Linked DNA regions of Neurospora crassa OR74A. The protein of the gene in region 2 interacts with the protein of the main gene of each other region in a biochemical or structural test. Links are inferred from orthologs where the notes say so. Each region holds a gene or a part of one and is shown on either strand. Other genes may lie near its edges.

Region 1 (3,289 bases), on a different chromosome or scaffold from region 2:
GTGTGCCGGCAGATTTTGTGCCAGCTGCACAGGCTGACAAGTCCTTCCAGCTCTCCAACGTCATTGTGTCAACGGCATAAAGTCCAACTCCCTTACAAACCTTAAGTGGGGAGAAGGGGGGGGGCGGGGGGGGGGGGGGGGGACGACGGGTACCCCAGGTTTCTCCGCAAGCGGAGCGTGGCTTGCAACCTTGCCGTGAGGTTAAAAACTTCTTGACAAACTGAAGACACAGATAAAGCTAGTGATAAATCCTGTACGGAGTATCTGACTGAGACTCTGTAAACTGGGTGCCCGATATTCTAGGTTTTCCGGACGTGAACTTCCCGTGAAATAACTTTTTGCTATCTTTTCTTGAAACGCATACCTCTCCCGCCTTGGTCGAATCATCTGCGATTGAAGATGACTCTTGAGGGTTCATCCCACTGATTCCACTACTCCCCGGCCGAACTCGACCGTGAGTTTGGTAGAAGGGAGATCTAGGTCCGAGACAGCAAGTATTGAGCACAAAAGTTGGGGGAAACGGACTGATGCATCGGGCGCAGCGTCGGTAATTTTTTTTATTTTTCTTAGACTCTTGTTCCTCGATCATGAGTATATAGAGCAGCCCGAAAATTGAATCGTGCGCAGGATCGCTATCAATGAATGAACTCCCTCCAAATGCCGCCACAAACAATGAATTGGTATCCCTAAACTCCGTGTCCCAGGTCCAGCAAAACAGAACTGCTCTCTCTTTTTCACCAAGCACCCTCACATTCGTGGGTTCCCAATCTATGGGGCGGCATTCTCCCGCACGACGCGCTTGATCCGACGTTCATATTCCTGACGATCTTTCTTGAAGAGATTGTACGCCTCAGCCTGGGCTGGGGACTCGGGATTGGGGTCATTGAGCAAGTCCTGGATGCCGAGCAGGATCTGCTTCATCGTGATGGCCGGCTTCCATGCCTCTTCTTCGTTGAGGATCGAGAGACAGACCGTGCCTGATGGGTAGACATTGGGGTGGAAAAGAGGGGGGACGAATTTGCCTGCTCAGACGCCAACATGTTAGCCATGTGATCGTAGCAAGGGGGGATGGACGAGGGCTAGCTTTCGGCGTACACTTGGGGGGTTTCGTGGGATATTCTGCATGCAGGAAACGTCAAGTCAGCACGTGTATTCTTCTGACTAAAGACACCGACCGGTGCAGGGCGCATACCATCAGGGAACGTGACGGTCAACTTGAACAGACCACCCTCCCAGATTGTCTTTTCTTTGCCCGGAATACCACATTCCCAAATCTTCAAGTCGAGCACACCCTGCTGGTTCTTCTGGGGACGGGCATAGAAGCCAAAGGGATGGTCCTTTCGCCACTGCTTCCTAGAGGGAGAGAATAAGATTGTCAGTCTGCTGGACGTAGGTACACTGTTGCGCAATGCTTTGCGGCGTACCGTTCCTCTTGCAAGCGGTTCTGGCACAGCGCCATGGTGGTTGACGAGGTTGACGTTGACGGGGTTTGGCGTCGGTAAAAGTTGAGCGGTGGCTGATCAACGTGGGATTCGAGTGATCCCTTGGACAAACTGAATGCGACGACGATTCAACTTCGACGGCCGGCTTCTTGCTAATGCAATGACGGCGCCGAGAAACGTGGGGATGCGGCTGAAGAGCTGCTCGGGTTGGTCACGGGGGGGATGGGCGCGGATCAGAAGGTGGAGTGTGGGAAGGTCCTCTGCAGGTAAGAGATCCAATCCTATGGGCCACGCGATATGTAGCAGCGTGGAGTATGTACTGCGTAGTAGCCCCGCAAGGTGAGAGGTGAAGGTGATTTGGGGTTTGTAAGGCCAAAAAAGAAAAGATGAGGGTTCGAATATCTGGAGTATATGCGGGGAATGATGCGCAATCCGAATGGAACTATGTAACGAAGTGTTTCCTGGGAAGGGAACCGACTGTGACTGATGTGGTAGACTTCGAATCCTAACGAGGCTGGAGGGAAGTTTCAGTTTGCAACGAAGTGACAGCAAATCGAATGGCAGGCGACACGCTCATTCAGTTATTGCCTGCCGGGCTCGGAGTTCCTGTCGCCTCGAATCAGGAAGGCGGAGAGTGGGTGAAGTGAATGGCATGGAAGCTCTCCTCTGCTTAACTTGTACTCCGAAGCTTGTCAACGGCATTTCACATACAGTAAATGGCCCATTTCAGTGACAGCGTGTAGGCTCCAAAATGAGCTTGATCCGCAGTCACACTAGCATCAGAAGATGGGATGACAGCGAGATGCCTGTTAGTATGGACTTTAAGTGCTCAAGCAACCTGATCAAGGAATATTGTCTGAAGCTGGAGGTGGTGTCCCTCGGCACACAGCGTACCCCGGTGGGCAATGGTGGGGTAACCGCCCTGTTCAAGCAGAGATGCGGGAAAGCGCCATGAGGAGTGAGCCGAATTGCACATGCAAAGGAAAACCCCCTCGTCATCTGAACCCTTCTGGATGTCAATCTCCATCTGACTTCTCTCCCTTCCATGTTTTCTTCCACTGATCACCCTTTCTTTGAAGGTTTTGGTTCGCTATACAATTCTGGATTTGCCTATCCCAGAGAGATTTTGTATACTCTCTTGATAGACCACTCCGCCTTGCATTAGCTTGGTTTCTACCTCAAACAGACAACTTCCCGCTTTTACCTCTCTCAAAGAGGTCGTGCTTCAGCGTGGGGTCAACCTTTTGCCCGAGCATCTGCTTCGTCTGTCGGAACGAGGCGCATCCACGACCGATCGACGTCTTTGCGATTTACACAACATTCTTACACACTCATACCGCACAATGGCTTCGAATAACGCCGGCGCAAAGGAGGAGGTGCCCAGGAAGGCCACCGTGGCCGACGAGTTCGACGATGACGTGTCCGACCCGGATGAGGATGACCTGGATGACCTGGATGACATGCTCGATGAGTTCGCCGCAGTAGACCTTCAAGCCAAGAAGCCTTCGGGGCCAGCAAGGCCAGACGCCGCTGGGGCAGATGGTGCCAAGGGGGAAGATGATGTCCTGTCCGAAGAGGAGTTTGCGAAGCAGCTGCAGGCCGGCATGGCTGATCTCCTCGGTGACATCGAGAACTCGGTAGGCGCAAACAATCGCAATATCCCAATTTCTGCGGCTCTAGCTAACTCTGAGCCAGCCTGAGCTACAAGCCCAGTTCGAGAGCATATTCAAGGAGCTAGGCGCCGCCGCCGCTGCCTCGGGTGCCGAAACACCTGGTATTCCCACCCCAAAGGCCGAGACTTCGACCAAGACTCCTCCGTCTTCTTCCCGCAGAGCCTCGGCCGCGGC
Region 2 (3,845 bases):
TTGACTGGGCTTGGCGACTTTGCGGCAGCTGATTTTCGCGGGCTCGCACGGCGCGTCGAGGGAGTCGTGGGATTCTTGGGGACATCATCGGCTTCGTCATCAGCTTCGACGTCGGCTTCCGGCGTATCGGGCCTGATCTTGGGCGTCCATGACGAGTTGTTCGCGGGCGGCGCGAGGACGAAGGGATTAGGTGTCACACCCTTGGGCGTCGCTGAGAAGATGCTGGCCAAGGGCTGCTGTGGGTTAGAACAAAATCAATCAATCAATCAATCACTCTTGGTCGCCCGTCGCAGAAGAATGATGGACGCTGTCTGGATGCTTACCACTCTCACTTCGGTATTGGGCCCTTTGCGAATTGTCCGCGGTGTCTTGCCTCGTGGTCGTGCTGGCGTTTTGAAGATTTCGGCAATGTTCCTGTTCCTGGTCAGCGAGACAAAGAGAGGGAAATAAAACAAAGACAACGCACATTTGGTTCTCGCCCAAGAAAATGTCCTCCATGTGCTCGTTCAGCCAGTCCATCTCATTGCGCGCCGCATACGAGAACTCTTCGACTTCCTCCTCTGCCACCTTGAGCGCCGATGCGCGCTCTTCTGCAACCCACGCTGCCGAGCCGACGGGCAGACGTGGTGCCTTGCGCATCGCCATTTTTGCTGTTTGTTTACTTTGGCGCCAAAAGTCAACAAACCGGATTTGGGGATGTGGGGAAAGCTCTAAAAAAAAAAAAAACCCCCAAGCAATGATCGGAAAAGAAAGGAATGGCAACAAGTGAGATGTTCAAAGCATTGGTATGATTAGTTGGTCAAAGAAAGGGAGGGAGGTGGGCGACGAGGCTGGCGATGTGGTATAATGGTGGTTGTCGGAGGGATGACGGGATTGCGTCGATCGAGTCAAAGCAACAAAGAGAAAGTCAAAGTCAAACAAACCAAGTAAAAAGCGAGGGATCGGAGACCTGACCTGACCTGACCTGGGATGGAGTTCCTGTTGCCGGAGCAAATTCCCTTGTCTTGGTTTCAATTGTTAGTACCCAATCCGCTCCAGTCTTTGTTTTGGTTGATGCCCAAAAGGGAATAGTCTGGGCTGAGGGGAGCGAAGAGGTGGGGCTTCTGTTTCCACTGCACTGTTGCAGCGCTTTTGTGCCTGGAAACTGAAGGCCCCAGAACACACCCCCGCTGCACGCCTTCCCGTCGCCAATTCACGTGCAGGCCCTGTCATTACCGTATCGTGGGCACAATCAATACCGTCATGGAGAGATCAAAGGTCTGCAAGTAAGAGGTTGGCCACAAAGAGCTGTAAATGTTGAATAATGGCAGTGCAGATGTTCAGAGAGCCATGTTTAACTTGAAACAAAAACACCAACTGAAAGAGCAATTCCCAGGGAAAAGATCCCGAGTGCTAGATACCCGGGTCACTCTTCGGTATTCTTGCTGACCCTCGGCCAGTTTGTGTAAATACAGTGTAATGGAATTCTCCTCCTCGACAAAGTCGCGACCAGTCTCGTCCGACTTGCAGACATCGCGTCTCACATCTTCCGTCTCTTCTACAATACTACTTCCAGGCTTCCAGGTAGAACGAAGGCAGCCATCACCACCAACAAAGTACTCGGATACCCTTCAGTACAACCGACATTATCATGGACGTCTTTGGCGATGAAGCCTTCAACGTCCCCGACTCGACCGACTGGCTGGGCACGCCCCTCGCATGCCTGATGCCCGTCGAACAGGCTTTCCGCTGTCACGTATGCAAGGACTTTTACGACTCTCCCATGCTCACATCCTGCAATCACACCTTTTGCTCCTTGTGCATCCGAAGATGTCTGTCCGTCGACAGCAAGTGCCCGCTCTGTCGCGCCACCGACCAGGAATCCAAGCTCAGAGGCAACTGGGCTTTGCGCGAAGCCGTAGAAGCCTTCAAGAACTCCCGCAAAGTCCTTCTCGAGTTTGCTAGGACACCACCGACCATTCAGGCGATACTGCCAGACCAAGCAGGCCCCAGTTCGCCATCAAAACGAAAGGCGACCGAAATGGAGGGGCCAAAAGAGGAGGACCCAGAAAGCAAGAGGCCGAGGAGGTCAACCAGATCAACAAGAGCCCGAGCCGCCGAGTTGACAGCGGCAATACTACAAGAAGAGCAAGACACCACACCTTCAGCCGACCCGGATTACGTCGACCAACCACCCGGTTCGTTTCCCTCCTCCCGCTCCTCGTGGGTTGCTTCTATCATCATCATCATCACTGACCTCCCACCAGACGACGGCCTAGTAGCCTGCCCCATCTGCCTCACCCGCATGAAGGAACAGCAAGTCGACCGCCACCTCGACACCTCTTGTCCCGGTTCTCCCCAGGCCGCATCCAAACGACGACCGATCCCCGCTCAAACACCACAGCCATCGACCTTTCCATCCTTCAACACCCGCCTCACATCTCAAACCAACCAAAAACCACCCGAACGCCTCCCCGCCCTAGCCTACTCCATGCTGCGCGACACCGCCCTGCGCAAGAAACTCTCCGAACTCGGCCTCTCCACCCACGGTTCTCGCCAGCTCTTGGAGAAGCGCCACAAGGAGTGGATCACGCTTTGGAACGCCAACTGCGACTCTTCGCGACCCAAAAAGCGGTCCGAGTTACTTCGCGATCTAGACGAATGGGAACGGACAGTAGGGAATCCCGGCACAGCAGCAGGAGGAGGAGGGGGGCAGCAGGGACTCGGACTCATGGCGAGGGCGCAAGCTACTGGAGCGCAGATCAAGGACAAGGAGTTCGATGGCAAAGCTTGGGCAACTCGGTATGGAGGGAGTTTTGGGGATTTGATCAAGCAGGCCCGGCAGGGGATTAAGAGGCAGACTTTGGATGGTAATGGGGAGAAGGCGGATACCAAGGGTGGGGGTGGGGGTGAGGATGTTGGCCCAGCTGAACTTCCGACACTACAAGCGAGAGAGGGGGAAAGCAGTGCAGCGCCAACACGGATGGATATTGTCCCGCCATCAAGTCCACCACGACCGGGGCAGGTGGATGACGCGGATACAGAACACGACGGGCAAGCTCCTGGAAAGGATGCTATAGCAGAGGATACCGCCATGAGGGAACAAGTCATTCCCGGGACTCCAGACAAGGAACGGCAGTGGGAGACGTCACAGCAGCAGCAGCCACCAATACCTGGGGATGCTCAACTGAGTGGGATGAAGAAGCCAAATCCAGAGACATGTTAAGGCCGATGGATATATTATGACAGGCACTCTTTTCTCCTACTTTACTAATTTACCCTGTGTTCTGTATGACATTTGTAGTCCATCCGGACTAGACCCACTTAACCTCTACACTAAAACCCACCCCACCCCCAGAAGACCCACATTTCTGTGGGCCGGGTCCGCTGAAGGATGTCGACGGGGGGTAAAAGTGATAGAGACTACTTACCACAGGAACCTAGTGACACCTACCCCCAACGTAAACATCGCCCCCAGGATACGACTCCCCCTTCACCCCGCCTCTCAACTCCTCTCCCATGCCCGCCCCCTTCAAAATTCCCTCCTGCCGCTTCACCTCCCTCACCACCCTCTCCGGATACAAGACCAAAAACCCCGCCATCACCACCCCCATCGGCACCCCATCAAACACATAGACAAACCACTCATGACTTGCCACCACCCCGTCCGTTCCCCCCAAATACTCGGCCCCGCGCACCACACTCCTGACAACCAACATAGCCCCCGCCACCTCCATCACACCAAAATACCACAGCCATCTCACCCCAGGGTCCATCAGCATTGCCCGTGACCTGGTCGGGTTGCGGTGCAGGCGCACGTGTAGGCGGCCGCAGGTGAAGAGGAAGATACCCAGCGCGAGGAGCTG

What was found. The genes of interacting proteins can lie anywhere in the genome.
Region 1: the proteins of uvs-2 (region 2) and NCU04302 form a complex in vitro, tested with the Saccharomyces cerevisiae proteins (2 studies listed by BioGRID, with this or other methods). The link is inferred for Neurospora crassa OR74A from reciprocal best matches to the Saccharomyces cerevisiae genes RAD18 and UBC9.

What each region holds. Positions count from the first base shown.
Region 1 is NC_026505.1:5,554,826-5,558,114, reverse strand, and holds NCU04302 (ubiquitin-conjugating enzyme E), read right to left. Parts: upstream 1,960-3,289; 5' UTR 1,460-1,959; coding exon 1,425-1,459; intron 1,354-1,424; coding exon 1,193-1,353; intron 1,120-1,192; coding exon 1,096-1,119; intron 1,023-1,095; coding exon 769-1,022; 3' UTR 518-768; downstream 1-517. Other genes in the region: pex19 (peroxin), read left to right, coding at 2,786-3,079, 3,138-3,289. UniProt on the Saccharomyces cerevisiae protein: E2 ubiquitin-like--protein ligase mediating SUMO/Smt3 attachment to septins and PCNA. Seems to be involved in degradation of S- (CLB5) and M-phase cyclins (CLB2).
Region 2 is NC_026504.1:5,740,530-5,744,374, forward strand, and holds uvs-2 (postreplication repair E3 ubiquitin-protein ligase rad-18), read left to right. Parts: upstream 1-1,454; 5' UTR 1,455-1,630; coding exon 1,631-2,177; intron 2,178-2,246; coding exon 2,247-3,205; 3' UTR 3,206-3,264; downstream 3,265-3,845. Other genes in the region: NCU05211 (hypothetical protein), read right to left, coding at 1-233, 324-414, 467-645; NCU05209 (hypothetical protein), read right to left, coding at 3,420-3,845. UniProt on the Saccharomyces cerevisiae protein: E3 RING-finger protein, member of the UBC2/RAD6 epistasis group. Associates to the E2 ubiquitin conjugating enzyme UBC2/RAD6 to form the UBC2-RAD18 ubiquitin ligase complex involved in postreplicative repair (PRR) of damaged DNA.